2 linked regions of the Daphnia pulex genome follow. The protein of the gene in region 1 interacts with the protein of each later gene in a pairwise test. Links are inferred from orthologs where the notes say so. Each region holds a gene or a part of one and is shown in the gene's direction. Other genes may lie near its edges.

Region 1 (4,508 bases):
TGTTAAAATAAGGCGATGGCAAATATGTAGTAGACGACATAAATGCCACACTCTGCACCGACATGGTCTACGCTTTTGCAATCCTGGATGGGAAAACTTACAAGATCAAAGAATTTGAACCTGAAATTGATTTAGGAGAAAATAAATTTTATTCAAAATTCGTCGATCTCAAGAAACAAAACTCGAAATTGAAGACAACCATCGCGATTGGGGGCTGGACAGATTCTCACGACGGAACCACCAAATATTCGGACATGGTGGCCAGCTCGACTAACCGAAGGACTTTTGTCGATTCAGTCTTGGCATTTCTTGACAAGTATAAATTTGATGGACTGGACATCGATTGGGAATATCCGAGTAGTGCGTCCGACAAAGTTGGGCTTGCTGAATTAATGAAGGAACTTCGAGCCGCATTTAATTTACAGACACCGAAATATTCACTCACTATCGCTGTGGGAGTCAATAAAACCATTAGCGACCTCGGTCAGTATTAATCAATAGTGTATATGAAATAAAAAGGTTTTTTTAATACATTTTTTCAACGTTAGGATACGACATACCTGTGTTGGCCACGACAGCTGATTACATCAACATTATGGCTTATGATATGCACGGGCCATGGGAACCTTTAACTGACCATCACGCCCCGCTCTATAAAAGAGATTGGGATACAGATGAAACCAACAATATCGATGCTGTCGTCCAGTACTGGAAAGATAGCGGTATGCCGTCCTCAAAACTCATGCTGGGAATTCCCCTATACGGAAAGTCCTGGACACTCGATTATACTTACACGGAGGATCCCACGCTTCCGGCACCCGGTTTGGGACCTGGAGCTGCAGGACCTTTAACCGGTGAATCGGGAACGTTAGGATACAACGAAATCTGTAATTATGTGAAAAACGAAAATTGGGAGGTGGTGGTCGATCCGACATTCCAAATCGGTCCATACGCTTCCACTCCGAGCGTGCCAAAGACTTGGGTTGGTTACGACGATCCCGTCATGGCCAATGTCAAAAGTCGCTACGTTCTGGAGAGGGGACTAGGCGGAGCCATGGTTTGGGACATGAGTACCGACGACTTTAGGAACACTTGTGGTGATGGACCCAATCCTATTATGACCAACATTTCACGAACTGTTGGGGTGACGACATCGACTACGACGACTTCACCGGCGGCGACCACCAAGACTACTACAGCCAGCACCTCGACGACTACGGGTGAGACAACGACAACAACGCCAACAACACCCCGTCCATCCACTACCAAACTGTCCACTTGGCCAAGAGTCACGACGGAGTCGACACAGGCTACGAGTTCGAAAACGCCATTCATACCAAACAATGGGCACCGAATTGCTGGCAATAGTCAGCAACTTACATTTTTGGCTTTCGGGTTTATTTTAATTAATTTAGTTATCTAGGACGTTAGAATTCAAATTTAACAATTTTTAATCATTTCTAATATTTTAAATCTTATTACTATATATTCAAAATCTGATTGATTCGGCCCGCAATACACACGAGTGATAATTAAATGTTGTTAATTGATATACTCATTGAGTAAGCCAAGAGAACTCTTATTTTTTTGTTGCAAAATTGCGTTAAAAATGAATTAGAAATTTGACAACTCCAATGTCGATTGAGCGAGTGCCGAGTGGCATTGTCAAGTGTCGAAACAGGAAGTGTTTAAATAAGTAATGGGTTAACGGCTACATTGTAAAGACCAGATTTCCAAGGCTTGAATCAAGGTTGGTTGTATTATGAAAGTCTTTATTGCAAACAAGTAAACGACCGTCAGAAGATCTGTGTTTTGACTGAATCAGAAATGAGAAATCAGCCTGAACATGCCCGTCTCAAGCAATCGATTTTTTTTAATCCAAAGGAATTCTGAGAAATAAAATATCAATTGAATGTCAGCGTTAGTTAAGGTCCCGTTTGAATAAACGAAACCCATCGTGACCATGTTTTGGTAGCAAACATCGGGCTGAAGGCCGACTGACGTCAGAGAATATTTCAAAATTGATAAATAATGTATCGAAATATTTTTTTTACTAGCGTGCTAGCGATGTTATCTTTATTTGTAAATTTTTTTTCTTACTAATAATATTACCAGATATTTGTAAATCATTTTCAGAACAATATCGATATTTCAACAAAAAGGAATAAAAAGCGCGCTTGAAATTAAAACTGCGGAGAAACTTGGCAACGCCGAATAATTTAATGGCGTTTAGATTGAAGCCCAGTTTTTTTGTCCGGCAACGTAAGGCAAGCCAAGGAAGTAAGGATAGCTTTGAAGAACGACGAGGACGGATTCAATTCGTGGCTTAACTCTCGATCGTCAACTTATCCAGTCACGAATTCATTCTTCGCCATCACCACTCATATTTCATTAATAACGCAAAGAGGTAAAGCTTTTATCTTATTCTCGTTCTGTGTAATGTCAGTTTCCTCATTTACCAAGTCAATGTGTATGACATCACCGGTCGGCTGTTGCACATACTCAAGGTCGTTATTCTTTATTTCCCTCTCGTCAACTAGGAAACAGACAACGTAAATATGTCAGACTTTAGTGATTTGGATCGACAGATCGAACAACTCAGACGGTGTGATATCATTAAAGAATCAGAAGTCAAAGCCTTGTGTGCCAAAGCACGGGAGATTCTGGTTGAAGAAAGCAATGTTCAGCGTGTTGACTCTCCTGTCACAGTAGGTTTCTCATAAGCTTTTGATTATTGCTCAATAACTAACATTTTTTGCTTGCTTTAGGTTTGTGGTGATATCCATGGCCAGTTTTATGATTTAAAAGAACTTTTTAAAGTGGGTGGGGATGTTCCAGACACAAATTATCTATTCATGGGAGATTTTGTTGATCGAGGATTTTACAGTGTAGAGACCTTTCTTCTCCTATTAGCTTTAAAGGTAGTATACATTTTTGTTAAGCATTTCTTTCTCTTGTTTCTGATTTGAGATTTCTTTCTTAGGTTCGTTATCCAGATCGCATCACTTTGATTAGAGGGAACCATGAATCACGTCAAATTACCCAGGTTTATGGTTTCTATGACGAATGTTTTAGAAAGTATGGTTCAGTCACTGTGTGGCGCTATTGTACTGAAATTTTCGACTACCTGAGTCTTTCAGCCATCATTGACGGCAAAGTATGCTTCCAGTAGTAACATGCATTGATAAAAACTCTAACATGACATGTTTTTCAAATTTTAGATATTCTGTGTGCATGGTGGGCTATCTCCTTCAATTCAGACACTGGATCAAATCCGAATAATTGACAGAAAGCAGGAAGTTCCTCACGATGGACCTATGTGTGATCTCCTTTGGTCTGATCCTGAAGGTAGGAAAATAAATATTGGCTATACTTCTGAAAGTGGTAATTCATTTCTGGGTGTTTGCTTTTGACAGATACACAGCAAGGATGGGGAGTGAGTCCACGCGGTGCCGGTTATCTTTTTGGCTCCGATGTTGTGCAACATTTCAACACCTCAAATGACATCGAAATGATTTGCAGAGCACACCAGCTTGTCATGGAAGGCTACAAATGGCATTTTAACGAAACGGTGCTGACGGTGTGGTCTGCCCCCAACTACTGCTATAGGTTTGTCTTAATTTCCCGCCAGATTTCACCAAGATGATTACTTAAACTTTTAATATTGCAATAGGTGTGGAAATGTAGCTGCCATTTTGGAATTGGACGAAAATCTCCATCGAGAATTCACGATTTTTGAAGCTGCCCCTCAAGAGACTCGTGGCATTCCTTCCAAAAAACCTCAAGCCGATTATTTCCTATAAGAAACGCGAAATGTTGATCGTTGATATATCCCCTGCGATTTTTTACAAAAATAATTATTCGGTAATGCATAAAACAAAAAACACAAAAAAAAAACAGTAACTGATGTGAGATACCCCATCAGTTGAAACAGAGCAAAAGAGCCTGTATCATGTTGGTTGACCATTTACCTTGACCGCCCGGACTAACAAATAGGTTTTTGAAAATTCTGTTCTGTCCAATCCCTTCCTTTTTTTTGGTAAACACAGTCTTGTCCTTTATAATAAAAATATATCTTGATCGTCCAAACAAGTGTTCAGTTTCCCTTTTCAACTTTTTGCTGCAGGATATCACATCTGACTATAAGCTACTCCCACTACTCAGTTTAATGAACAATATCTTTGTGTACGTGCGGTTATGGTATGTTGGGGGCGAATTGTGTGACGTGTGTAATTATTTTTTAACATCAGTGCTAAATATTGATGCAATGGCCATGCTTCCAAAATCTTTTTTTTTTTGTTTGTGTTGCACCCATTTATATTATTATGAATGTGATGCTTGCGATGGCTCTCAACATGCACTGTATACAATTTCTTGAAATAACGATGGACTTGAGACGAAAACATGTTTAGTGTACCTGCATTAGTTTCGAAAACAAGGCTCGATGTTTACTTTCTCAACATTGAGTCATAACGGCTATTCATTTTTACGATCGTTTTTATTATCAC
Region 2 (3,593 bases), on another chromosome or scaffold:
TCCACATTTCTTTTCCAACCATTTAATTTGTTTTGCTCCTTACTGTCTTAAAAATGAAATTTACTTCTAACCTGAAACGTGAAAGTCGCAAAGAGTGCTGCAGTCTAATACGCATTGCGTATACTAGATTGCCAATTGTCCACATTTCTTTTCCAAACATTTGATTTTTTTTTGCTCCTTACTGTCTTAAAAATAAAATTTACTTCTAACCTGAAACGTGAAAGTCGCAAAGAGTGCTGCAGTCTAATACGCATTGCGTATACTAGATTGCCAATTGTCCACATTTCTTTTCCAAACATTTGATTTTGTTTGCTCCTTACTGTCTTAAAAATGAAATTTACTGCTTACAAACGAATTGCGTGTGCTTGCTTTTCAAGGCCTTTTCAAATCGGGCCGAACCAATCACATGCGAGAAAGGGTGGGCTAAAATTGCGCTGGGGTAGTGGGAGCACGTCTCTAATTTGGGAAAATTCTAAAAACTCGGCGGTTATAGCCGGATATAGCCCTTGCCGGAGCTATATTCGAAGACTCGGGTTATTCTAACGACATTACGTGGGCGGTTATCGCCCCACTTCTTGCCCCCGGTAGATTTGAATTAATTTATAAATGTTCAATTAACTCAAAATTTTAAATTTCAGATGGAAAGATCAGTTACTGGCCTAAGAACCCTGTCCAGACGATTCATCGTAAATATGGAAAAGCTTTGCAATTTGCGTAATATAATTTGACATATTACTAAAAAAAATTTATAATGTTTTTTTTTTATAATAGAGAAACAAAGATCATGGGTTTGACCCGTGTTACGCTTAAAATTGATGCAATCCCTATCAGTAGAGGTTTGGCAAAAAACGTCAGTTGCCAAAAGTGCAGCAGCAAAATACGCGTTGAGTATACTAGATTGTTAATTGTCTAGCATTTCCTGTTTAAGCATTTGATTTTTTTAATTTTTATTCTCCTTATCGTTCTTAAATATGAAATTTAAGTCTTACAAATAAATTGCGTGTGCTTGCTTTGCAACTGGTTAAAATTGGCGATGTTCCAGTCTGCAGAACCATCGAAAAAAGTCCGAGTGACAAGACTACCCAAAACCTAGAAGTGCAAATTTATACTCGATACATGGTTGTCAAATAGGGTTATATTGGGTGATAAACTGAGCAGAACCAGAGTCATCTAGCCTATGGTCGCTGCAGTCAACGTTAAATTCCAATAGCCCTCGACGACCATTTGCAACATCTATCTAAAATAGGGGTTTAATTAGGAGTAAAAATAGGGGTTTTCATATTTGGGGGTCCCCATATTTCCCATATGGGGATTTGACGGGAAGCTACTTTTTACTAGCGACTTTTGTATGGAGGCATAGGGAGGTCTCAACGAATGCCACGCCATCTAGGCTGTTGCGGCATACGGAAATACATTGAGACCCCCCTTTAGTAAAATGAGCGGAGCCCCCTCTTATGGGAAATTTAACAGGGAGACTGGAAATATTGAATTTTTTTTAATGGTTTAGTATCAAAGTTATAATAAAGTTCATGAAGAAAATCTCATGATGCAATTTGTTTCTGGTTAAAACCGGTTCTTAATGACTCCACTACGTGGTATTCATGGATAGTTGGTGTAATCATTTTACGAGTTACGACTACTAGATGGCAACCCGTGTAAGCACTGTCTCAACTTAGTAGTCTATGGCTCTATGCTTCAGTATAAAAACATAGCATTAAGAAAACGGAAATGTCGGCCGATTTAGAAGATGGATCTGAAACGGTGTCAGGGTTGTTTGACAAAGGATTGAAGATATATCATGGATTGTGTGATACCATGGATCCTTCCAACAGTCCTGAATATCAGGTATGTAGTCAGTATTCTATTCAAAGAATTTCTTGGTTTATTGTGTTTTTCAAACTATTTTTTTGAATGATTTATAGGCTAAAGTTAGAAGTTGCATTCAAATACTGGAGGATGCAACCAGACTTGTCAGCTCCCTTGGACTCTTTAGTACAAATGAAAGTGTTGATGAAGTTGCAACCAATGATTTGAAATTTTTCCTCTTGCCAGTGCTTCTTGGGGATTTGAGTCTGAAACTCAATTCAGATGACCGATTAAATATTCTTAATGTTGCAGAAGTTTATTTTCAAGATTTTCTTCAGCGATGCAAGGATTATTCAGTTGGAGGATTGGATATCCCTGACAGAGATCAACTTGTGAAATGTGAGGAACCACCAAGACATCCTGGTCCTATGGGGTTTGAAGAAATGGCAAGACAAAGAGAGGAGAAAATCAGGAAATTCAGAGAAGCCAAGGACTTGGAATCGAAACTCATTGAACTCAAGAATGCTCTTGAAAACCCTAGTTCAGATGAATCAATTGCACGTGAATACTACATATTATTGATGAAGAAATTTGTTTTCTCAACTATTGAAGAACTTAAATCCATAACTCAAGAAAAACCTATAGTTGAACACCTCATCAAAATTAAAAGAGGCGGTTGTGATGCCAAAAAATTACCACCATATGTGGGCAAACCATTGAAACCTATCATTATTACAAGGGATGCCGTCCAAAAGGCAGTTTACGGATTAGGATATCCTAGTATTCCCGCTATGACGGTAGAAGAGCTTGTTGATCAAAGAATGAAGGATGGATGGTACGTGTATTTAAAGCAACTAAATTAATTTATCAGTTCTAAAATCAATTTAATAAATGGGATTTAGGTATGGAAAATTAGGTGAAACCTCTGGCAATTCTCGTTCTCTGCTTGATGAAGCAAAAAATACAGAAATGGCCGCTTTGAAAGCGGAACAAGAAGCAACAGATTTAGAGAGAAAGGCTGAACTAGACCAAGAAGAACAACTTATCCGAGCTCGCCAATATGATGATTGGAAGGATGACCACAGGAGAGGCTACGGGAATCGGCACAACATGGGCTAATGTTATGGATTAAACATTGAATGTAATTCCAAAAAGAAACCCGTCAAATATAAATTTGCTTGTATAACCAACATTTGTATTCTTTCGTGTAAGATATTGCATACCTCTCAAAATATAATTCTTTTTAGATTACAAGAACAAATAGGAAATCAAAATCTTCAACCAAAATGTGTGGCCGAAAAGCCTTCATTTACATCATTGTTATTTTCTTCTTTATTTATGGGAATGTCACCGACACGTTCAGGAGTCAAAGAATTTATCTCTGCGTCTAGATGAAAGAAAAAATTAGTAGAGGAAATAGCAAGTATGTAAACATGAATACCGACTTACTTTGCTGCTGGGGTTTGGTATATTGAGTAATCCGTGATTTAGGTGTATACGAGGAAACCATTGCCTCTTCTGTTTGTGGAAATCTGTTGGGTGAGTGACTGATTCGTCCGCTACGAGTGACATGCACTCTCGTAGATGGGCTTTCAGATATGTTGATGTGCGGGTGAATTCTTAGTTCCTCAGTTTGACCATATCTATCGGGGGAACGAATTGGTCGCCCACTACGAGTAGTACATTGTGCCGATGGGGAAAATTGTATCTTGGGAATTCCAAGGAATTGGCTGGGTGGCAGAACTTTTTCCCTAAAATAATAATAATTTTGCTGTTACAACTGAAAT

What was found.
Region 2: the proteins of serine/threonine-protein phosphatase 4 catalytic subunit (region 1) and immunoglobulin-binding protein 1b-like interact in binary tests that used the Caenorhabditis elegans proteins (3 or more experiments, as listed by UniProt). The link is inferred for Daphnia pulex from reciprocal best matches to the Caenorhabditis elegans genes pph-4.1 and ppfr-4.

The regions. Positions count from the first base shown.
Region 1 is NC_060025.1:1,447,724-1,452,231, reverse strand, and holds serine/threonine-protein phosphatase 4 catalytic subunit, read left to right. Parts: upstream 1-1,659; 5' UTR 1,660-1,750; intron 1,751-2,136; 5' UTR 2,137-2,407; intron 2,408-2,540; 5' UTR 2,541-2,558; coding exon 2,559-2,708; intron 2,709-2,768; coding exon 2,769-2,921; intron 2,922-2,983; coding exon 2,984-3,157; intron 3,158-3,221; coding exon 3,222-3,348; intron 3,349-3,416; coding exon 3,417-3,609; intron 3,610-3,673; coding exon 3,674-3,803; 3' UTR 3,804-4,403; downstream 4,404-4,508. Other genes in the region: probable chitinase 10, read left to right, coding at 13-483, 549-1,423. UniProt on the Caenorhabditis elegans protein: Protein phosphatase which plays an essential role in meiosis and in early embryonic mitosis.
Region 2 is NC_060028.1:6,376,935-6,380,527, forward strand, and holds immunoglobulin-binding protein 1b-like, read left to right. Parts: upstream 1-1,662; 5' UTR 1,663-1,728; coding exon 1,729-1,845; intron 1,846-1,922; coding exon 1,923-2,641; intron 2,642-2,708; coding exon 2,709-2,925; 3' UTR 2,926-2,996; downstream 2,997-3,593. Other genes in the region: endoribonuclease Dicer homolog 1-like, read left to right, coding at 494-584, 639-714, 772-913; uncharacterized protein LOC124209844, read right to left, coding at 3,084-3,193, 3,256-3,557. UniProt on the Caenorhabditis elegans protein: Probable regulatory subunit of serine/threonine-protein phosphatase PP4 which may play a role in meiosis and embryonic mitosis.